3 linked regions of the Arabidopsis thaliana genome follow. The protein of the gene in region 2 interacts with the protein of the main gene of each other region in a biochemical or structural test. Each region holds a gene or a part of one and is shown on either strand. Other genes may lie near its edges.

Evidence for each region.
Region 1: the proteins of CKB3 (region 2) and CCA1 form a complex in vitro, tested with the Arabidopsis thaliana proteins (2 studies listed by BioGRID).
Region 3: the proteins of CKB3 (region 2) and LHY form a complex in vitro, tested with the Arabidopsis thaliana proteins (one study listed by BioGRID).

Annotation. Positions count from the first base shown.
Region 1 is NC_003071.7:19,243,273-19,250,262, forward strand, and holds CCA1 (circadian clock associated 1), read left to right. Parts: upstream 1-2,318; 5' UTR 2,319-2,600; intron 2,601-2,684; 5' UTR 2,685-2,732; coding exon 2,733-2,771; intron 2,772-2,850; coding exon 2,851-2,962; intron 2,963-3,050; coding exon 3,051-3,112; exon of another isoform or gene 3,113-3,479; intron 3,480-3,590; coding exon 3,591-3,785; intron 3,786-3,872; coding exon 3,873-4,046; intron 4,047-4,129; coding exon 4,130-5,011; intron 5,012-5,082; coding exon 5,083-5,445; 3' UTR 5,446-5,643; downstream 5,644-6,990. Other genes in the region: PSI-P (photosystem I P subunit), read left to right, coding at 457-613, 704-825, 913-999, 1,085-1,147, 1,406-1,443, 1,541-1,598; DUF4 (hypothetical protein (DOMAIN OF UNKNOWN FUNCTION 724 4)), read right to left, coding at 5,919-6,382, 6,484-6,637. UniProt on the Arabidopsis thaliana protein: Transcription factor involved in the circadian clock and in the phytochrome regulation. Binds to the promoter regions of APRR1/TOC1 and TCP21/CHE to repress their transcription. Binds to the promoter regions of CAB2A and CAB2B to promote their transcription.
Region 2 is NC_003074.8:22,269,042-22,274,441, forward strand, and holds CKB3 (casein kinase II beta chain 3), read right to left. Parts: upstream 3,133-5,400; 5' UTR 2,922-3,132; coding exon 2,717-2,921; intron 2,631-2,716; coding exon 2,412-2,630; intron 2,324-2,411; coding exon 2,214-2,323; intron 2,118-2,213; coding exon 1,952-2,117; coding exon of another isoform or gene 1,929-1,951; exon of another isoform or gene 1,804-1,928; coding exon 1,673-1,803; 3' UTR 1,229-1,672; downstream 1-1,228. Other genes in the region: AT3G60245 (Zinc-binding ribosomal protein family protein), read left to right, coding at 1-7, 280-368, 467-549, 646-709; AT3G60260 (ELMO/CED-12 family protein), read left to right, coding at 5,262-5,346. UniProt on the Arabidopsis thaliana protein: Plays a complex role in regulating the basal catalytic activity of the alpha subunit.
Region 3 is NC_003070.9:32,226-40,292, reverse strand, and holds LHY (Homeodomain-like superfamily protein), read left to right. Parts: upstream 1-2,535; 5' UTR 2,536-2,724; exon of another isoform or gene 2,725-2,894; 5' UTR 2,895-2,920; exon of another isoform or gene 2,921-3,089; 5' UTR 3,090-3,231; coding exon 3,232-3,270; intron 3,271-3,371; coding exon 3,372-3,483; intron 3,484-3,607; coding exon 3,608-3,669; intron 3,670-4,121; coding exon of another isoform or gene 4,122-4,203; intron 4,204-4,293; coding exon of another isoform or gene 4,294-4,329; coding exon 4,330-4,563; intron 4,564-4,645; coding exon 4,646-4,726; intron 4,727-4,818; coding exon 4,819-5,892; intron 5,893-5,965; coding exon 5,966-6,301; 3' UTR 6,302-6,312; exon of another isoform or gene 6,313-6,631; intron 6,632-6,703; 3' UTR 6,704-6,914; downstream 6,915-8,067. Other genes in the region: UMAMIT28 (nodulin MtN21 /EamA-like transporter family protein), read left to right, coding at 1-80, 479-884, 1,006-1,157, 1,239-1,395; PPa1 (pyrophosphorylase 1), read left to right, coding at 7,623-7,746, 7,834-7,862, 7,946-8,011. UniProt on the Arabidopsis thaliana protein: Transcription factor involved in the circadian clock. Binds to the promoter region of APRR1/TOC1 and TCP21/CHE to repress their transcription. Represses both CCA1 and itself.

The sequences.
Region 1 (6,990 bases), on a different chromosome or scaffold from region 2:
GATCTTGATTGTAATCTTATTATCAAAAACCAACCGTAAAAGTATATGAATTGCGTATTTGTAAATTGTAATTATTATATAGTATTGAGATTGTGATTAAAAGTAATAATGAATTTGTTGAATTATTATTATAGACTATAGTATAGTAGCAAGAGTGAAATTTTGTTTTCAAGAATTGAGTCCTAATTTTATAAAAGGAGCCAAAAAACCCAATTCTATCTAATCCAATGAAAACTCCAAGATCGTCTCTACGTCCGCCACGTCAGCACTATCCTGATCGGGAAACCCAAAACGAGTGGTCGAATAGTTTCCGACTGGTAACAGAGAAAGCATCTCCACAATCCCCAAAATTCTTTCAACACTTGCTCTCCATTAATCTTTTAGATAATAAACCTAATTGTTTCTGTTTTGTTTTTGTTTCTGTGAGATTCTTCCGAGGCTTGAAGCTCAATAGCTATGGCTTCTCTTTCAGTCTCTTCCTCTTCAACCATCATCGATTCAAGAGCTCCTCCTTCTCGACTAGCCTCCGCCTCCGCCTCTTCTCCGTCGTGCATTTCACTTCCCACACTTCCGATTCAGTCTCATACCCGTGCCGCTAAAGCCACTGCTTACTGTTCGTTTTCCATAAATCTGAAGATTTTTCTTTTCACTTTTAATTTCGAGTTTAAAGTTTCAAACTTTCGAAATGGGTTTTGGTTTTTAGGTCGGAAGATTGTGAGGAACGTTGTGACGAGAGCTACTACTGAAGTTGGTGAAGCTCCTGCCACTACTACCGAAGCTGAGACTACTGAGTTACCTGAAATCGTCAAGACTGCTCAAGAAGCTGTAAATACTCTTACTTTATTTATACAATGATGATTCTACCTCTTGCTTCTGGGTTACATGTACTGAATTTGGTTGTTTGGATTGAAGTGGGAGAAAGTGGATGACAAGTACGCTATTGGTTCTCTTGCCTTTGCTGGTGTAGTGGCTCTTTGGGGTTCTGCTGGAATGATTTCGGTGAGTAGAAGAATACTACTTTCTTCTTAAAACCCTAGTGTTAAATTTCCTTTATTTGATTCCAAAATTTGTTATTGTGAAACAGGCAATCGATAGGCTTCCATTGGTTCCTGGTGTTCTTGAACTTGTAGGCATCGGTTACACAGGAGTGAGTTTCTTCTTCTCTTTGTATCACTTGAACCAAAGCTCTCATGAACCTGTTTTGAGGATATAGATGATTCATCACTTCACTTTTGGATTTAGGATTAGTTCTCTGAATTTAGAATCCGAACATCTGCAATTCATATGGAGATATGATATCAGAAATTGATTGCTGCTTCTCGCTAGTGTTTCAATCTTAAAAGACGTGTGTAGTTTGTTTCAATTGTGTGATGGACCTTATTAACATTTGGTTTTTCTATGGCAGTGGTTCACTTACAAGAACCTGGTCTTCAAACCAGACAGGTTAACCAATTCTCTCTTTAACTCTGTGTTTGGTTGCATGTAATACTGAGAATGGAAGACTCAAATTCTCGAGGAAATTGTTTGTTATCTGTTTCAGGGAGGCTTTGTTTGAGAAGGTCAAGAGCACATACAAAGACATATTAGGGAGCAGCTGAATCAAAGGAGGAAGAAGAAGAAGAAGAGCCTTTTTGAGGCCATTCATGAATTGGAATGAAGGATATCAAAAGAATCTAACACAAAGGCCACGTCCTTCCTTCAATCTTTCCTTCTTGTAACTAAATAATTTTCATCCTTTCTCTCTCTCTGTCTCTGGTCTTTTTTAGCTCAAAGTATCATCCATTTATGTCAAAGTGTTGTAAATTCCTCAAGACTATATATGAGATGTTTTGTTTCATTTTCCAAAATTTCAAACTTTGTCCCCATTTAGTCTTCTACCCTTCATGCATGGTTAGCTTAGCTTAATGCTGAACTGTTGAATAACGATATGGGCCTTATGCTAAAAGAACAAAACCTTATGGGTCTAAAAAAAATAAGCCCAATATAAAACTATGGCCCAAATAAGTTTAGGTCCATTAGAGTGTGAGAATAGCGCGTGTAGTGAACCGCACGAGAATGCGCGTTCGATTGTTGGTGAAGTAGTCGTCTAGATTCCCGGGTCCACTGATGTTTCTAGTGTATCAGACACGTGTCGACAAACTGGTGGGAGAGATTAACGATCTTAAGTAGGTCCCACTAGATCAAGATATTATAACGAATTGACCTTTTTAACCTTTCAGGTAGTCCCGGAACTCGTGGCCTAGAATACAAAGAAGGTTGTGAACAAGTTGATGTTAAGATGGACAAGAATGTAACTTGAACAAAAGCTGAATCATCTCTTCAGCCACTAGTATGTTGACATATGGCAGTTTCTTTTGTAGCCTCGAAATAAATAAATTAAAAAGTTTGAGGTTAAAGATAATTATAGTGGCTGAGATTTCTCCATTTCCGTAGCTTCTGGTCTCTTTTCTTTGTTTCATTGATCAAAAGCAAATCACTTCTTCTTCTTCTTCTTCTCGATTTCTTACTGTTTTCTTATCCAACGAAATCTGGAATTAAAAATGGAATCTTTATCGAATCCAAGCTGATTTTGTTTCTTTCATTGAATCATCTCTCTAAAGGTACTTAAGATTGATTTATTGTCATGGTCTTTCTTATTGTTTGATGAATAACTTGACTTGATTGTTTTTTGTTTTGTGGATTAGTGGAATTTTGTAAAGAGAAGATCTGAAGTTGTGTAGAGGAGCTTAGTGATGGAGACAAATTCGTCTGGAGAAGATCTGGTTATTAAGGTAAATTAAACTAAATTTTAGGGGGAAGATGATTGTTTTAGGTGTCAAAGATTGAGAATTTTAATGAAACTTGATATAGACTCGGAAGCCATATACGATAACAAAGCAACGTGAAAGGTGGACTGAGGAAGAACATAATAGATTCATTGAAGCTTTGAGGCTTTATGGTAGAGCATGGCAGAAGATTGAAGGTTGATTTTTATTTCCCTTTATATGTCTTATTTTTTGTGTTTGCAGAGGTTTGTCTTCAAACTGATTTGCTTTTTTTCATTTGGACAGAACATGTAGCAACAAAAACTGCTGTCCAGATAAGAAGTCACGCTCAGAAATTTTTCTCCAAGGTAAAATCGGTTAATTTTGAAATGATGTTCTCATCTTCATTGGCTTAATGCTTAAGACTTATTGAAAGCCAGGCAAGTTTTCTGCTTCTTTTGCTTCTTAGTCAGGAGATAGATAGATTACGTTTTTAGAGTTTAGTAATGAGCAATAAGTCTTAAAATAGTTGGAGAAATGACGAGATGTAATCGTTTTCTTTTGTTTATGCCTATATCTTGTTAATCCACAAACATGTACATAGATTCTTCAGAAGAATGTTAGTTTCTTTAGATTCTTCAGATAAACTTGTGTCTTCTTACCGATTCTGAGGTAGTGGCAAAAGTGGGCTGAGTGCTAGAAATTTTTGAATGTTCCTTGTGATAAGCCATAGAGGTAAACCATTTTTGATTTTCCAGTTCTGTCATTTAAACTTGTTAGTGTCATTAGATTTTTGTTTGTTTACGTTTGTTTAGAGGGTAACAAAACTACTCTCATCTCTCTCAGGTAGAGAAAGAGGCTGAAGCTAAAGGTGTAGCTATGGGTCAAGCGCTAGACATAGCTATTCCTCCTCCACGGCCTAAGCGTAAACCAAACAATCCTTATCCTCGAAAGACGGGAAGTGGAACGATCCTTATGTCAAAAACGGGTGTGAATGATGGAAAAGAGTCCCTTGGATCAGAAAAAGTGTCGCATCCTGAGGTGATTTTCATGGTCATATGGCATCTTTTTGCAGTGTGTCACATTGCTCCTCATGTTATTAATACAGATTGTGTGCTTCGTTTATAGATGGCCAATGAAGATCGACAACAATCAAAGCCTGAAGAGAAAACTCTGCAGGAAGACAACTGTTCAGATTGTTTCACTCATCAGTATCTCTCTGCTGCATCCTCCATGAATAAAAGTTGTATAGAGACATCAAACGCAAGCACTTTCCGCGAGTTCTTGCCTTCACGGGAAGAGGTAAAAAACAATCTTTCATTGCTATTTGAGGTTTTAAGACGATTAGTACTTTTCATGAAACTAAAACCGTGGGGGAATAACAGGGAAGTCAGAATAACAGGGTAAGAAAGGAGTCAAACTCAGATTTGAATGCAAAATCTCTGGAAAACGGTAATGAGCAAGGACCTCAGACTTATCCGATGCATATCCCTGTGCTAGTGCCATTGGGGAGCTCAATAACAAGTTCTCTATCACATCCTCCTTCAGAGCCAGATAGTCATCCCCACACAGTTGCAGGAGATTATCAGTCGTTTCCTAATCATATAATGTCAACCCTTTTACAAACACCGGCTCTTTATACTGCCGCAACTTTCGCCTCATCATTTTGGCCTCCCGATTCTAGTGGTGGCTCACCTGTTCCAGGGAACTCACCTCCGAATCTGGCTGCCATGGCCGCAGCCACTGTTGCAGCTGCTAGTGCTTGGTGGGCTGCCAATGGATTATTACCTTTATGTGCTCCTCTTAGTTCAGGTGGTTTCACTAGTCATCCTCCATCTACTTTTGGACCATCATGTGATGTAGAGTACACAAAAGCAAGCACTTTACAACATGGTTCTGTGCAGAGCCGAGAGCAAGAACACTCCGAGGCATCAAAGGCTCGATCTTCACTGGACTCAGAGGATGTTGAAAATAAGAGTAAACCAGTTTGTCATGAGCAGCCTTCTGCAACACCTGAGAGTGATGCAAAGGGTTCAGATGGAGCAGGAGACAGAAAACAAGTTGACCGGTCCTCGTGTGGCTCAAACACTCCGTCGAGTAGTGATGATGTTGAGGCGGATGCATCAGAAAGGCAAGAGGATGGCACCAATGGTGAGGTGAAAGAAACGAATGAAGACACTAATAAACCTCAAACTTCAGAGTCCAATGCACGCCGCAGTAGAATCAGCTCCAATATAACCGATCCATGGAAGTCTGTGTCTGACGAGGTACTTACTTGGACTAAAGATCAACTTCCTTTATTTCAAATCATTTTCTCATATAAATATTGTACATTCAGGGTCGAATTGCCTTCCAAGCTCTCTTCTCCAGAGAGGTATTGCCGCAAAGTTTTACATATCGAGAAGAACACAGAGAGGAAGAACAACAACAACAAGAACAAAGATATCCAATGGCACTTGATCTTAACTTCACAGCTCAGTTAACACCAGTTGATGATCAAGAGGAGAAGAGAAACACAGGATTTCTTGGAATCGGATTAGATGCTTCAAAGCTAATGAGTAGAGGAAGAACAGGTTTTAAACCATACAAAAGATGTTCCATGGAAGCCAAAGAAAGTAGAATCCTCAACAACAATCCTATCATTCATGTGGAACAGAAAGATCCCAAACGGATGCGGTTGGAAACTCAAGCTTCCACATGAGACTCTATTTTCATCTGATCTGTTGTTTGTACTCTGTTTTTAAGTTTTCAAGACCACTGCTACATTTTCTTTTTCTTTTGAGGCCTTTGTATTTGTTTCCTTGTCCATAGTCTTCCTGTAACATTTGACTCTGTATTATTCAACAAATCATAAACTGTTTAATCTTTTTTTTTCCAACCTGGAAAGAACTTCACTCAAGGGGCTCTTGTTCTTGATATATGCAAACGACAGAGTTCCAAAACGTAATCTTAGCCCATCCATCACCCTTAAGTTGTCTCATAACTCATAAGTAAGCACAAAAGCACCACACAAATAAGCAAACTCTACTTCCTTATGTCATCACATAAATAGAAAGGCAAGCAGCCAAAGGCAAGCAGTAGCAAGTACAACAGAGTTGTTACAAAAAAGGATTAAATAAAAACAGAAGTTATAAGGATAAATCCAACCACACCCATGAAATGACCCCATATCTTTTATTTGGCCGTCTCCTTGTCTTCAAAGCTGCTTTTGCACCTCACCAGACTCTTTTTCAGCTTGCTATAATCATCTGCCATCTCTTTCTCCATCCCTTTTTGTTGTCTGAGGGATTCACGTCTCATCTTGCGGAGAACTAACAGCGTGAGGACCTGTGATAAAGGTTCTGCAACGTCGAAACCCTGCTCCTCGAACATTTTAAATGTCTCTCTGTAGACATCTAGTTCACTTTTTGGAGTGTCCTCACACATACCATCTACTGTCTTTACACAATCGATAAAAGCTGCAGTCAGATAGGCTGCAGTCGGTTCACCAAAACTTGGATGCGTGTAAGCCAATGATGGGAAGTGAGGACGTTGTGGTGTTCTTTTGTAGACCTCATCAGACTCAAACTCTTTCCACGAAGCTAAAGTCTTGGTAAAAGGCAAAACAATTTCCTCACCAGCTGATCCTCCTGTAGGAGCTGACCACCAACACAAAACAATGAGAATTGCGTAAGTGTACACGTATCTAGCTAGTTGTTCGTCGTATCAATGCAAGCCTCCTATCGAGAGTATAATATACCTGCAGTCTCGTTGTTGAGATCTGAGTGGTGCTCTTGTTCTACTCTTCTCCTCTTACCGCGGCCACTGGCATCATAATTAGGATGATCAGCATCAATTATAAGCAAGCCCCTCTCCTTCACAGGCCCGGCCCGTGACCCATTTGTAAGAAACATGGGTATAGGGCCACCAAAATTTGTAAGGTTTTTAGTATTAAAATTAGGCCTCAAAAATATTTGTTATTGCAAAATATAGGCCTCATTTTTCTGAGATTTTCAAATTTAGCCTCAGTTTTTACATGTGAGGCTGAAGACTTTTCCTGTCAAATTTGATGCATGTGCTGCTTCAAGCTAGCTAGAGATGTAGAAGAGTATTCGCTTCTTGTCTTCAGGTGTTAAAGAGAATGGAGGCTAAGGCTTTACATGTTATCGTAATTGTTGTATAGTGAGAAGAAGTATTGATTTGTTGTATAATGTTACAGACTTTGTCTTGTTATATGAAGACTTTCTTCAACCTGAAATTTTTTTCA
Region 2 (5,400 bases):
AAATACGGTAATGTTCCTGACTCATCTCTTATTGAATCGCTTAGGATGTTAATGCTATCGAAAATAAGGATAGGATCTGCAAATTTGCTTAGTCTTGTAGCTCATTTTAATGGAGTATATTAACATGTATCGTTCATTTTTGATTACATGTTGTCAATATGTAATGGATCTGTCTACACTGGTTTCATATTGCAATTCGTTCTTCATTTTGGGGTCTAAGTTGGTTATTATATGTATTGTGAGTTCTCTTCCTAACGTATGTATGGTTATGTGATTCAGGAACACGTTATGGTGCGAGTATCAGGAAGCAGATTAAGAAGATGGAGGTCAGCCAGCACAGCAAGTACTTCTGTGAGTTCTGTGGCAAGGTATGAAAGAGATTAACATTCAGTTACTGTTTTCATTTCTAAATCTCTTTTGGTTTTGGATTATTGTGGTAACTGTGGTTTGATCAAAATGATTGCAGTACGGAGTGAAGCGAAAGGCTGTTGGTATCTGGGGTTGCAAGGATTGTGGCAAGGTCAAGGCAGGTGGTGCTTACACAATGAAGTAAGTGATTTCTGAGTTATATTTGTATTAGCTTTGTGTTGGTTATCAATCAATGATTTGTTTTCTGATGAAATTGTTTTCGTTTGTGAATTGCAGCACCGCCAGTGCGGTCACTGTTAGAAGCACGATCAGAAGGTTGAGGGAGCAGATCGAGGGTTAAAAGTCTGCTGGCTTTTTATATTTGGTTTCCTTGTTTTGACAATTTAAGTTTTGCAAACTCTATGCTTGTGATTTTGAATCAAGACTTATACATTGAGCAGTTTAAGCAGGTTTTTATTTTTTGTTGAGTTAATTTTCAAAGTTTCATTACCAATAGTTCTAGCTATATAACCTAAAGTTAGGCTTGAGGTTTTGAATGTTTGATCCTATTCAACACCTAATTATAAATCCTTGAATCCTGATCTAATGTGATGTTTCTTATACTTTATTTTGATCAGCACTTCTTTAACCCTATAACTTGGTAACAGTATTCGCACGAGTCTTTACAGATCAAAATTTTTAGAGTTTGATGTGTGTTTTCAAAGTGCTTTACTAGAAATCCTTACGATAATACAATCTATAACTGAGTGTACTAAGTTTAATTACACAAAAGTCGGTGAATAAACAAATACTAACGTTACTGGTTTTTATGTCTGGCAATGATCTCTTATAAAATCTATATATTGACTTGTTTATATGCTTTTGTGTCGTAATCATCCTAAGATATTGGTCCCTTGAGTGTATTTTAATGGCCATACATGTCTCATTATGATCTTTGATGAAATTGATTGATCTAAGTTATACTTCAGTTGAAATTTATGAGTTTTACATGAAATTAGAAAAACGAATAATAATCCAACAGTTCAAAACAAAATCCAACTAACTGGGGAAAATCTTTTCGGAGACAACAACAAGACCCAAGTGTGTCGTTCTTTTCCCCCAATGAGCCAGGCTGTTGCACTTCTAAGTTTTCTTGGAACTTCATGAGATTCTTTCAAGATTCCATCTTTCAACTTCAGCTCTCATCCTCTAACCCAATGGTTGATGTATGCTCCAGTCACCGCAGCTATCGTTTCAGTTGCTCATCCGGATGCAATTACAGAGCCACTAAATGTATCACCATTGAGAATGCAGAGCACTAGTATCATGGTTTGTGTACCTTGAAGCCAAAGATTTTTGGGACATAGCTTTGAGTAGGCTTCTGCGGCTTTAAGTTCCCGTAAGTCATCAAGAACAAGTGAGGGAATGTGGTTCCAAAGTACGCTCCATCAATATCTGCACAAGTCATTTAAGGAAAACGCTAAGATACAATGACACTCAAGATCAGAGTGTCTCAACTGAAGCAAAATCAGACCTAAGCTTTCACTGAAATATTGAAATGGCAAAGCCAAAATTATGGATTATGAACAGAGAAAAAGGATACTGCCTTGGAATTTAGATCGCGGGTAAGATATATCCTCGCATTTAGGGCAGTATATCTTCACAGTACTCGATCTCGGGATATCGGATTGTCCAACTGGAAGACAAGACTGACCGCAACAGAAAACTCTCGGGCATCTCCCGAAATCACAGTTCTTGTACTTCTCAGTCTACAGAGATCAATAAACAAGAGACGTCGTTAATCAAATAACGAAGCTAAAAGCACCAAAACATAAACAAAAGAGTAGAGAGATTCTCTCACTAACCATTGCAGCCATTCCTTTAGTAGTCAAAATGTAACGAACATGAATAAGACCATATAGCATCTCAGCAGCTGATTCCACCATTTCATGCTGTTCATCAGTAAACATCTCACCTAAACATAGATACAAGATTTCAGACCAAACTTTACTAGCTCCTTATTAACAAAAAAAGAAAGAAGAAGAAGAAGAGAGATGACTTACTGTTGGAAGCATCAACATCTAAAATGAGATCAAGTGCATAATCATAGTAAGGGACTTGACCACTTAAACCACAAAGATTGAAATCATCTTGAATATAATCTTCATCGACTTCACAGAAGAAATCATTCCCTCTCAAATTACAAAACCAAGAGATCCACGACGTATCATCACCCTCCGATCCACTCACATCAGACCCTTCACTATCAGTTTCCGATTCCACTGCAACACCAAAAAAAAAAAATCATCAGAAAGAAAGCAATTAACCAACAAAAAGACTCACAGATGTGAAAAAGAGAGGAACAAACCATCAGGAAGCTGAGTTTTAGTAGATGTGAAGGAAAAGGGATCTTTGTCTTTAGAAGAGAAAACCCTAGATGTGGTGGTGGAAGTTGAAGATTTCTCTAGTTTCTTATTGAGTGCATCGTTGATTCGTTTCCGATCAATAGCTCCACCGAGGATCTCTGATCTCGATGACCCACCACCACCTCCTCCACTACGTTCCTTGTACATAATTCGATTCCTTCTCCAAAAAGACAAGAAATTTGGAGATTAGATTCTCGAAAGTGTCAGACTTTCTGAGAAGCTTGAGAGAGAAAGGAAATTAGAGAGACGGAGAAATCTAGGGTTTTCTTCTTTTTAATTTTAATTTTTTTAAAAAAATTATATATAATTTTGGTAACAGAGTGGAGGACAGGACATAGGCGATGTAAAGATGGTCTCTCTTTCTCCTCTCAACTGTTTTGTTTTTTTTTGCTTTCCAGTTTTTGTTCTTTCTATTTTACAATGGGCTTCTATAATTGGGCCTTGTGTTAGCTAAAGTCAGTTTAGTCTCATTGCTTGCTTCCATCAGAAACGACCAAAACAGATGGGCCACAGCCCACATAAGATGAAATCCATAAATCGTGAACAAACATGACAACCAACAAGATTACGATTTTTGGAATTAGAGTACATATACATGTTGGAACTTGGAAGATGCATTGGTCAACGGAGCTAGACCTGACAAAGGTCTTCGGATAATAATAATATCGTAAACATTAAGGAAACTTTTTAATTTTAAAAAATCGGACATGAAGAGCACGAATTGAACTCTATACAAAATCTAGAGTTGAATCGTGTTTCAGAAACTGAAGGTACACGAGCTTGTGGTGGCGTGGTGCACGACTCTGCATAAAACTCATTATATTATCTATTCAAAATCTAAGCATTTGTTTCAGACAACACAAGTTTCATTTTTAAAAGATCTCGACTTACGACAAAAAAAAAAAAAAAGATCTCGACTTTTTTTGTTAGTTAAATACTACAATAGTTTGAGAAATATTTTGTATTTATTTTATTTTTTTTAGTTTGAGAAATATTTTGTATTTCTTCGTTTGTGTTCAAGTAAAGTTTGTGATCCACGTTTATATACAAAATTGATAGATAAAAATTGGACTGGCATATCATGTAATATACACACCCAAACATAATTTTTGGGATCTAGAAACATTTGCTTGCAGAACGGAGCCTTTGTCGGAGAAAGTAGTCATGCCTCGTTACAACGACTTTTGACAATTTCCCAAAAGTTTTATAGAAGTTGTAAATTTAATACTAGTAGTTGTATATTGAAATTTTATTTTTGCATTAAACGGTAAGGATCTACTAATAATTGACATGTTACTAAGTGAATGTCTAATCACACGAACAAAAAGAAAAGGCAGTTTACACGCGGGTCGGCTATATTTGAACCATACCGGTGATAGTATTGGCCCACGCCTTAATGAAATTGTCGCACCCATGATACCGTGATCTCACTTATGTGGTTAGCTTTGTAAGACAACATTATTACTCTACATGCTATATTATCTTACTCGGATTCGATGTTTTGTTTTATTAAGAAAGTAAACAAAAACTAGATTGAAAGCTAACCTTTAGATAGATTTTATTAAATAAAGTTTAATTTCGATAATGCATTTCCAAACTCGAAGCGTCACTAGTTGCAAACGGAAGTGTGGCACTAAGACTTTACTAATCATATAATTCTGTGAGATTAGATTTCAATATTTTGATCAGGTAATTCAAAATTTTGTTGTTGCCTAACCATTCCTTAACCGCTCAGCTATTTTGAATGTGTTAACAACCAAGTAGATCTTTGATTTTAAAGTATAACTTTCTAATGGTTGGTTAGTATATAGAAAAAATGAAAACAAATAACCATAAGTTAATTATGTAATTCATTTCGAATTACTATTGTGTTACAGCAATATTCACGATGTTCACAACAGTAGAAAACAGAATCTTAAAAAGATGCTTAAAAATAGAGAAGATTGAAAGATAATAATAAAAAAAATGAATTAGAAGATTGTCGTTGACGTCGTCCGACTTAAATACCGATGACCGCACGAGTCATTATTTTCCGTTACTAAGCTTTTGATAGCGACTGAACAACACGCGCCAGATCCTTTAGTTGTAAATCCCCATTTTTATTTTCTTAAACCCAAAGAAAGAAAAAAAAGAAGAGAAACGGCCGAATCTTCATAAATTCCGCCATCTGTTAAGCTCAATCGCCGCCTAAACTCCGGCGACTCTCTCGGTAGATCTCTCAATCCTAACTGTTTTCGTCTATCTCTCTGTTGTATCTAAAAGCAGCGACGCCGATTTGTTCGTTTTCCGGCGGGTACATATAGTATGATTATCTCTGTTTAGGTGTTTTTGATCAGTTTCTCATGATATGGATTCGCATTGCGTCTCTGTTTGATTCAGATTCCGAAAGTTCCGATTGATTCGATAACTTGTATTTGTTGTTTGTTTCTGCATTTGATAGAAGATATTTGGTGATTGAGGTGACTCGGAAGAGAGTGAGAGAGAGAGATGGATGATAGAGGAGGATCGTTCGTAGCAGTGAGAAGGATTTCACAAGGTCTAGAACGAGGAAGTGTTTATCATTCTTCTTCTGGTAAATTTCATCTTCACTTTGTACGATGATTCTTTCTATTTTTTTTGCTTCTTC
Region 3 (8,067 bases), on a different chromosome or scaffold from region 2:
TCGTACACGTCAGCAACTGTTTCGTGTGCTTTGGTAAGCATGTTGCCTGCAATCACCTTCGCTTTGGCCCTTATTTTCAGGTAACGATGGAACCATCTAACCTCTTTATCATCAATTGATAATATATATTAATCTAGATTTTTAAAAAGCACTACTGAAAGTATTGACAACATAATATAGAACATTATATTTTCTTATTAATTGTAATGCAATCTGATTGGTTTTCTTTTCCATCAAATTACCTTAAGTATACGTAACTGCATCCACTGAGCCCTCTTTCTAAAGCTTTTCCTGAAAAAATGTCTTTTCTTAGCTATACGTCGCATTTTTATAAACTTTGATGGAATGATGCGGAAAATTATTAAAAAGCGACTCTATTTTGTAACGCCAGGAAAGAAAAAAAACAAATACTTTCTACTATGATTCATATTCTCAATAACTTGTTTCAAAATAATCATTAAAATTTTACTTTTTTTAGGACTGAAAATGTGAAGATTCTAAAGACCAAAGCAGGAATGTTGAAGGTGATTGGAACTTTGATCTGTATAAGTGGAGCTTTGTTCTTAACATTTTACAAAGGCCCACAAATATCAAACTCTCACTCTCACTCTCACGGTGGGGCTTCCCACAACAACAACGATCAAGACAAGGCCAATAATTGGCTTCTTGGATGTCTTTATTTAACCATAGGAACAGTGTTGCTATCTCTATGGATGTTGTTTCAAGGGACTTTAAGTATTAAGTACCCTTGCAAATACTCGAGCACTTGTCTTATGTCAATTTTCGCGGCATTTCAATGTGCTCTCTTGAGCCTTTACAAGAGCAGAGACGTTAATGATTGGATCATAGATGATAGATTCGTTATCACCGTCATCATATACGCTGTAAGTTACAAACATCATATCTTTATAAATTAACTTTTTAAAAATTATAAGATTAGTATGTAAGAACTTAAGATATTAATGTGGGTTTTTTTATGTGGTTTTTTTTTATCATATATTATAGGGAGTGGTAGGACAAGCAATGACGACGGTTGCAACAACATGGGGGATTAAAAAATTAGGAGCTGTGTTCGCATCGGCGTTTTTCCCACTTACTCTCATTTCGGCTACTCTATTTGATTTCCTCATTTTACACACTCCTTTATACCTTGGAAGGTATCTTCTTCGATAATCTCTATCAAATTAATTTTGTCTAGGCATAACACTAATTACAACATTAAAACTTTTGGTCTACAGTGTGATTGGATCACTAGTGACCATAACGGGTCTCTACATGTTCTTGTGGGGGAAGAACAAAGAAACGGAATCATCAACTGCATTGTCTTCAGGAATGGATAACGAAGCTCAATATACTACTCCTAATAAGGATAACGACTCTAAGTCGCCCGTTTAATTTAATTATATTGTTGTTAATGTATGTTTCAAATAACTGTTATGTCCTAGTTAATGTTTAAGGAGAGGTAATGAGAGATAAAATTTTATAATTCCAAACATCAACGTAGAGATTTGTGAAATATTTAAATCCGGTTTGTTTGGTTATTTTGGAATAATTTCGGTTATTTCAATTAGATTCGGGTAGTTCAGTTCTTCGGTTAGTAACAAAAACTGGTCTATTGTTTTTTGGTTAACCTAGAACCGAACCGAACTAACCAAAGTTCTCGGTAACCTTTTGTAGTGGCTTCCTGACCGATGAGGCCGTCAACTTCAAAAAATATTGCAACTAAGCTCTGCTCCAACATTAGAGTATCTATAACTATGTTAAACGCTTCTGCTTTAAGCAAAACACAGTTGTAAGCTGGAATCTAAAAAAATGAGTGTAATGATGTTTGCTGAATTCCATAAATAAATACTACATGCTTCGGTTAAGACTTAAGAGTAATTAATGTTCCTTAATTTCTACAAATGTTATATAAGCAAGTTGACCAAAGTTCTCGATGATAATTTGTTGAAATTTTGTATAGGCATTGCATGATATTATATGAAAAGATGAAGATTTTTATACAGACGCAAGTTCCCCGAGCAGTCCAAGCTTGTCGGGTTTAATTCAACTATGTTAATACGCAAATTTATATAGAATAGGCGTAAAAGTGAGGCCCATACAATGTCTTATTACAAGCCCAGATCCAGCATAGCCAATACGTAGCAGTACACCATCACAGCTGGCACCGTACCCACTTGTTTAGTCGTCCAAGTTTGTACCAATAATCGTTTACACGTAAGCAATTGTGGACCACCACACTCACTTTTACCTACGTGAGCTTCACATTGAAGCTTCTGGCTCGTAGAGAAGCAACTTGAGATATACCAAAAAGTGCAGTAGACAGCCACTACAATATCACCACGTGTCGATCTGCGATGACTTCTGTTTTTTCCATTTATACCCTTGGTGCTGTTCCAGCCTCAAATAAACTTTTCAATTAAAATTTTTCCAAAAATTAGGGGAAAAATTGTTGTGGCTGAGATTGCTTCTGGCTTCTCTTCTTCTTCTTCCAGTCTTCTTCAGCCTAAAACAGTCTTCCTTCTTCTTCTTCTTCTTCTTCTTCTTCTTCTTCTTCAGTTATCTTCTTCCTTCTTCTCTCTGTTTTTTAAATTTATTTTTAGAGATTTTTTTTTGTTTTGCTTCCGATTTGATTATTTCCGGGAACGATGACTTCTCCGGGGAGTTCCCGGTGAGATGATAAGTCAGATTGCATACTTGTCTCCTCCATGGCTACTCTCAAGGGTATAACAGTTTACATTATGAGCAGTTTCTAGGATTCCTATAACATACTAAGATCTCTGTTTGGCTGCTGAGAAACTTATAGAAGCGATTAACTAAATCTTATTAGCTCTAAAAGTTAGCATAAATGATACGAATCTGGTGATTGATTACTGATATGAAGATTTGTGAAGGTTTTGGCTGCGGTGGATTCGTTTGGGTGAGGCTTTTGTGAATAATAATAAAGGGAATTCTTTTGAGTTCTGCTGGAGAAGCAGCGACTGTTTCACGGTGGACTTTGAAAAGATTTCTCTTTTGAATTTCGCTCATCACTCTTATCTTAGTGTTTGTGGATAAATATTTCTCATAAAGTACTTTCTCCTTTGCAGTTTCTCTAGAATCTAAAGAGGTTATCACAACGGCTTTGCAATTTGAAAACTTTCATGTTTGGGGAGATCAAAGATGGTTTCTTTTTTATACTTTACTTGTTAGAGAGGATTTGAAGCAGCGAATAGCTGCACCGGTCCTGTTATGGATACTAATACATCTGGAGAAGAATTATTAGCTAAGGTACTACTACTAATGAAATAAGATTGGTGTTTTTTTGTTTGAGAGATTTGGACTGTTGTTGTGTGAAGATTTGATTTTCTTTTGGGTTTTCAAATGTTTAGGCAAGAAAGCCATATACAATAACAAAGCAGCGAGAGCGATGGACTGAGGATGAGCATGAGAGGTTTCTAGAAGCCTTGAGGCTTTATGGAAGAGCTTGGCAACGAATTGAAGGTCGAAAGTTTATCTTTTGAATGTTTAGTTTGAACTCTTTGAGATTTTATATTCCTTTGTTTAGGAGTGTCTTTATCTCCTCTTGATTGGGAGATTCCTTCTTTTCTTTTCATTTTGTGTGCAGAACATATTGGGACAAAGACTGCTGTTCAGATCAGAAGTCATGCACAAAAGTTCTTCACAAAGGTAAGTTGATGATCCTTTCAGATCTTTTTAAAACACTTTCGTTATCTTGTGTAAAGGTACCATTTTTTCATATCGATCTATGACTATGTTTAGAAGTTGCCTGTCACTGTCTGGAAAAGATGATAGAAGGTTCTTCTTATTCTTCCTTTTCTCTAATTGCTTCAACTAGAAATTAGGCGTCTAAGTAGAGTGTGTTTTGCTAAGTAGAGTTGGTTGGTTCCGAGGATTGCATCTCGATCGTTTTTTATCTTTTTCATTTACTCTGTTCAACTAAACTTAACATTAGATTGGTCTGTCCAAACTTACTGTTAGAAAAAACTCTACAGAGAGCTTTCTTCTCTGAGACCATAAGATAGGTCCAAATTAACATAACTAGCGTTGCATTTGGATGACACAATTGTCCCATATTCACTAAAGTCGATGAAATAATGGGATTGCATGAATTCTTTTAGCCATCCATATGGAAACCAAACCTCCTTGCCCTATAGGACAGGACATGAAGTAACTCTATCATCTCTACCCCGAAAAATTCGGGTCAGTATAAGACTTTTTTCAACCTTGGTGATGTGGTCAATTTCATGAATCTCAGGATTTCACATCTGAGCTGCATTTTTCCATCTCCAGTTTGGAAAAGCTCACAGTTTTTGGTTCACATTTCAGTTGGAGAAAGAGGCTGAAGTTAAAGGCATCCCTGTTTGCCAAGCTTTGGACATAGAAATTCCGCCTCCTCGTCCTAAACGAAAACCCAATACTCCTTATCCTCGAAAGCCTGGGAACAACGGTACATCTTCCTCTCAAGTATCATCAGCAAAAGATGCAAAACTTGTTTCATCGGCCTCTTCTTCACAGTTGAATCAGGCGTTCTTGGATTTGGAAAAAATGCCGTTCTCTGAGGTTTATTCCTGATCTTTCTCTTCTTCATTTTATCATTTTGGTGGTCTTGTGATAGACTTCTTATGTTTTATTTTCTGGTTAGAAAACATCAACTGGAAAAGAAAATCAAGATGAGAATTGCTCGGGTGTTTCTACTGTGAACAAGTATCCCTTACCAACGAAAGTAAGTCTAAGAAAGCTACAAAATTGTAGTCGAAGAATCTGATGAATGCTTTCAAGTGCATGACAAATTATTTGTTCCATTCTGATTTTTAGCAGGTAAGTGGCGACATTGAAACAAGTAAGACCTCAACTGTGGACAACGCGGTTCAAGATGTTCCCAAGAAGAACAAAGACAAAGATGGTAACGATGGTACTACTGTGCACAGCATGCAAAACTACCCTTGGCATTTCCACGCAGATATTGTGAACGGGAATATAGCAAAATGCCCTCAAAATCATCCCTCAGGTATGGTATCTCAAGACTTCATGTTTCATCCTATGAGAGAAGAAACTCACGGGCACGCAAATCTTCAAGCTACAACAGCATCTGCTACTACTACAGCTTCTCATCAAGCGTTTCCAGCTTGTCATTCACAGGATGATTACCGTTCGTTTCTCCAGATATCATCTACTTTCTCCAATCTTATTATGTCAACTCTCCTACAGAATCCTGCAGCTCATGCTGCAGCTACATTCGCTGCTTCGGTCTGGCCTTATGCGAGTGTCGGGAATTCTGGTGATTCATCAACCCCAATGAGCTCTTCTCCTCCAAGTATAACTGCCATTGCCGCTGCTACAGTAGCTGCTGCAACTGCTTGGTGGGCTTCTCATGGACTTCTTCCTGTATGCGCTCCAGCTCCAATAACATGTGTTCCATTCTCAACTGTTGCAGTTCCAACTCCAGCAATGACTGAAATGGATACCGTTGAAAATACTCAACCGTTTGAGAAACAAAACACAGCTCTGCAAGATCAAAACTTGGCTTCGAAATCTCCAGCTTCATCATCTGATGATTCAGATGAGACTGGAGTAACCAAGCTAAATGCCGACTCAAAAACCAATGATGATAAAATTGAGGAGGTTGTTGTTACTGCCGCTGTGCATGACTCAAACACTGCCCAGAAGAAAAATCTTGTGGACCGCTCATCCTGTGGCTCAAATACACCTTCAGGGAGTGACGCAGAAACTGATGCATTAGATAAAATGGAGAAAGATAAAGAGGATGTGAAGGAGACAGATGAGAATCAGCCAGATGTTATTGAGTTAAATAACCGTAAGATTAAAATGAGAGACAACAACAGCAACAACAATGCAACTACTGATTCGTGGAAGGAAGTCTCCGAAGAGGTAAAACAAAAACCAATGATTCATGGATATTGCAGAGTTCTTCTGGGAACTAACACTATCAAAATATTTTCAGGGTCGTATAGCGTTTCAGGCTCTCTTTGCAAGAGAAAGATTGCCTCAAAGCTTTTCGCCTCCTCAAGTGGCAGAGAATGTGAATAGAAAACAAAGTGACACGTCAATGCCATTGGCTCCTAATTTCAAAAGCCAGGATTCTTGTGCTGCAGACCAAGAAGGAGTAGTAATGATCGGTGTTGGAACATGCAAGAGTCTTAAAACGAGACAGACAGGATTTAAGCCATACAAGAGATGTTCAATGGAAGTGAAAGAGAGCCAAGTTGGGAACATAAACAATCAAAGTGATGAAAAAGTCTGCAAAAGGCTTCGATTGGAAGGAGAAGCTTCTACATGACAGACTTGGAGGTAAAAAAAAAACATCCACATTTTTATCAATATCTTTAAATCTAGTGTTAGTAGTTTGCTTCTCCAATCTTTATGAAAGAGACTTTTAATTTTCCTTCCGAACATTTCTTTGGTCATGTCAGGTTCTGTACCATATTACCCCATGTCTTGTCTCTTGTCTCTGTTTGTGTATGCTACTTGTGGTCTATATGTCATCTGCTACTACTGTTAATTAACCATTAAGCAATGGATTTGTCTTTATTCTTCTTTTTAAAAATTGTGGATATTGATTGATGAGATCATAAATAGTTTATAATGATAAAAGATGAACTGTACAAAAGTTACAACTTAGAAAGTTTTGTCTTTTGGTGTTTCTTCATAATGATTCTCTCTGTTTGTTTCAAACTTGAAGGCGCTCGTTGCCCAACGCCAAATGCCCAAAGGTGCTAGGCTGGGCCTTAAAGATTTTACTCACACTACTTGGGCCTACATTACAACATTTTCCCTATTACAAGCTTAAGTAATAGAGGCCTAAAGAAGGCTTATATTGTGTAGCTAGTTTATACAATATTTCAATCTCTTAATTTGGTTTACTGATGAATGAGTAGATATACAATTTTTTTGTTCTCACTGAATGAGCCATATCCTTGCTACCAAACCAAATTATTTGTGAAAAATGTAATGCAAGTATCCTACATAGATTATAGGAGTGACCGCAAAAACACAAACTATGTTTCGTAATAAAAAATAAAGTATTTTTAAAAAGATGTAAATCTTTGTAAATAATTGAGTGGTAGTGTAGTGAGTGTTACGATAATATAAAAGTTTGATCCGTATATCTCGGTGGTGACTCATATATACATTTTACAATCACTTGCTAGACCAACGGGCTTCACTTGTTTCTCTCCCAAAGTTTCTTCATCATCCTTGCGATAAAGAAAACAACAATCGGCTGTTTCGTTTCGATCCAAAGGTACGTTTTTTTTTCTTTTGTCATCGTTCTAAGATCATCAAAGTTTGATGCTTTTCCATGTTTAATCTTCTGGGTATTTTGTTGCTTCAAATCTCAATCATCCATCGAGTCTATAGAGAAAAAGTGAACAGATTTGGTATACATCTTTTCAGTAATCGATACGTTAACAATATATGAATCCATAATTTGGGTATGATCGATCTCAAGTCTGCTTTAAGGATTGTTTTCCCTTGTGGGGTCTTGATTCGCTTTTTCCATTTAATACTCTTGATTCGATTGATTCTCTCTCTGCCAATTAGGGTTATGATGTTAGATTCAGTCAATATCAATGAGTGATGAAACGTTCTGATTTTGACAGATGAGTGAAGAAACTAAAGATAACCAGAGGCTGCAGCGACCAGCTCCTCGTCTTAACGAGAGGATTCTCTCATCCTTGTCAAGAAGATCCGTAGCTGCTCATCCATGGCATGATCTTGAGATTGGTATATAAATCATTCTAAACATGCTACTTTTTGATTTCATACTTTTGTATTCTGTTACTAAATCATAAGTCTGGATAATCTATCTAGGACCTGGAGCTCCACAGATTTTCAATGTGGTAAGTTTTTTCCTACTCTTTGTTCTAAACAGAGTATGTTGTTATTAGATTCTCTAATCATTTTATCTTTGGATGATTATTAGGTTGTTGAGATCACTAAAGGAAGCAAGGTCAAATACGAGCTTGACAAAAAGACAGGACTCATCAAGGTTAGATGAGAACAAAGTTTATTTTTTATATGAATGGTTTTCTTATAGCAAAATCA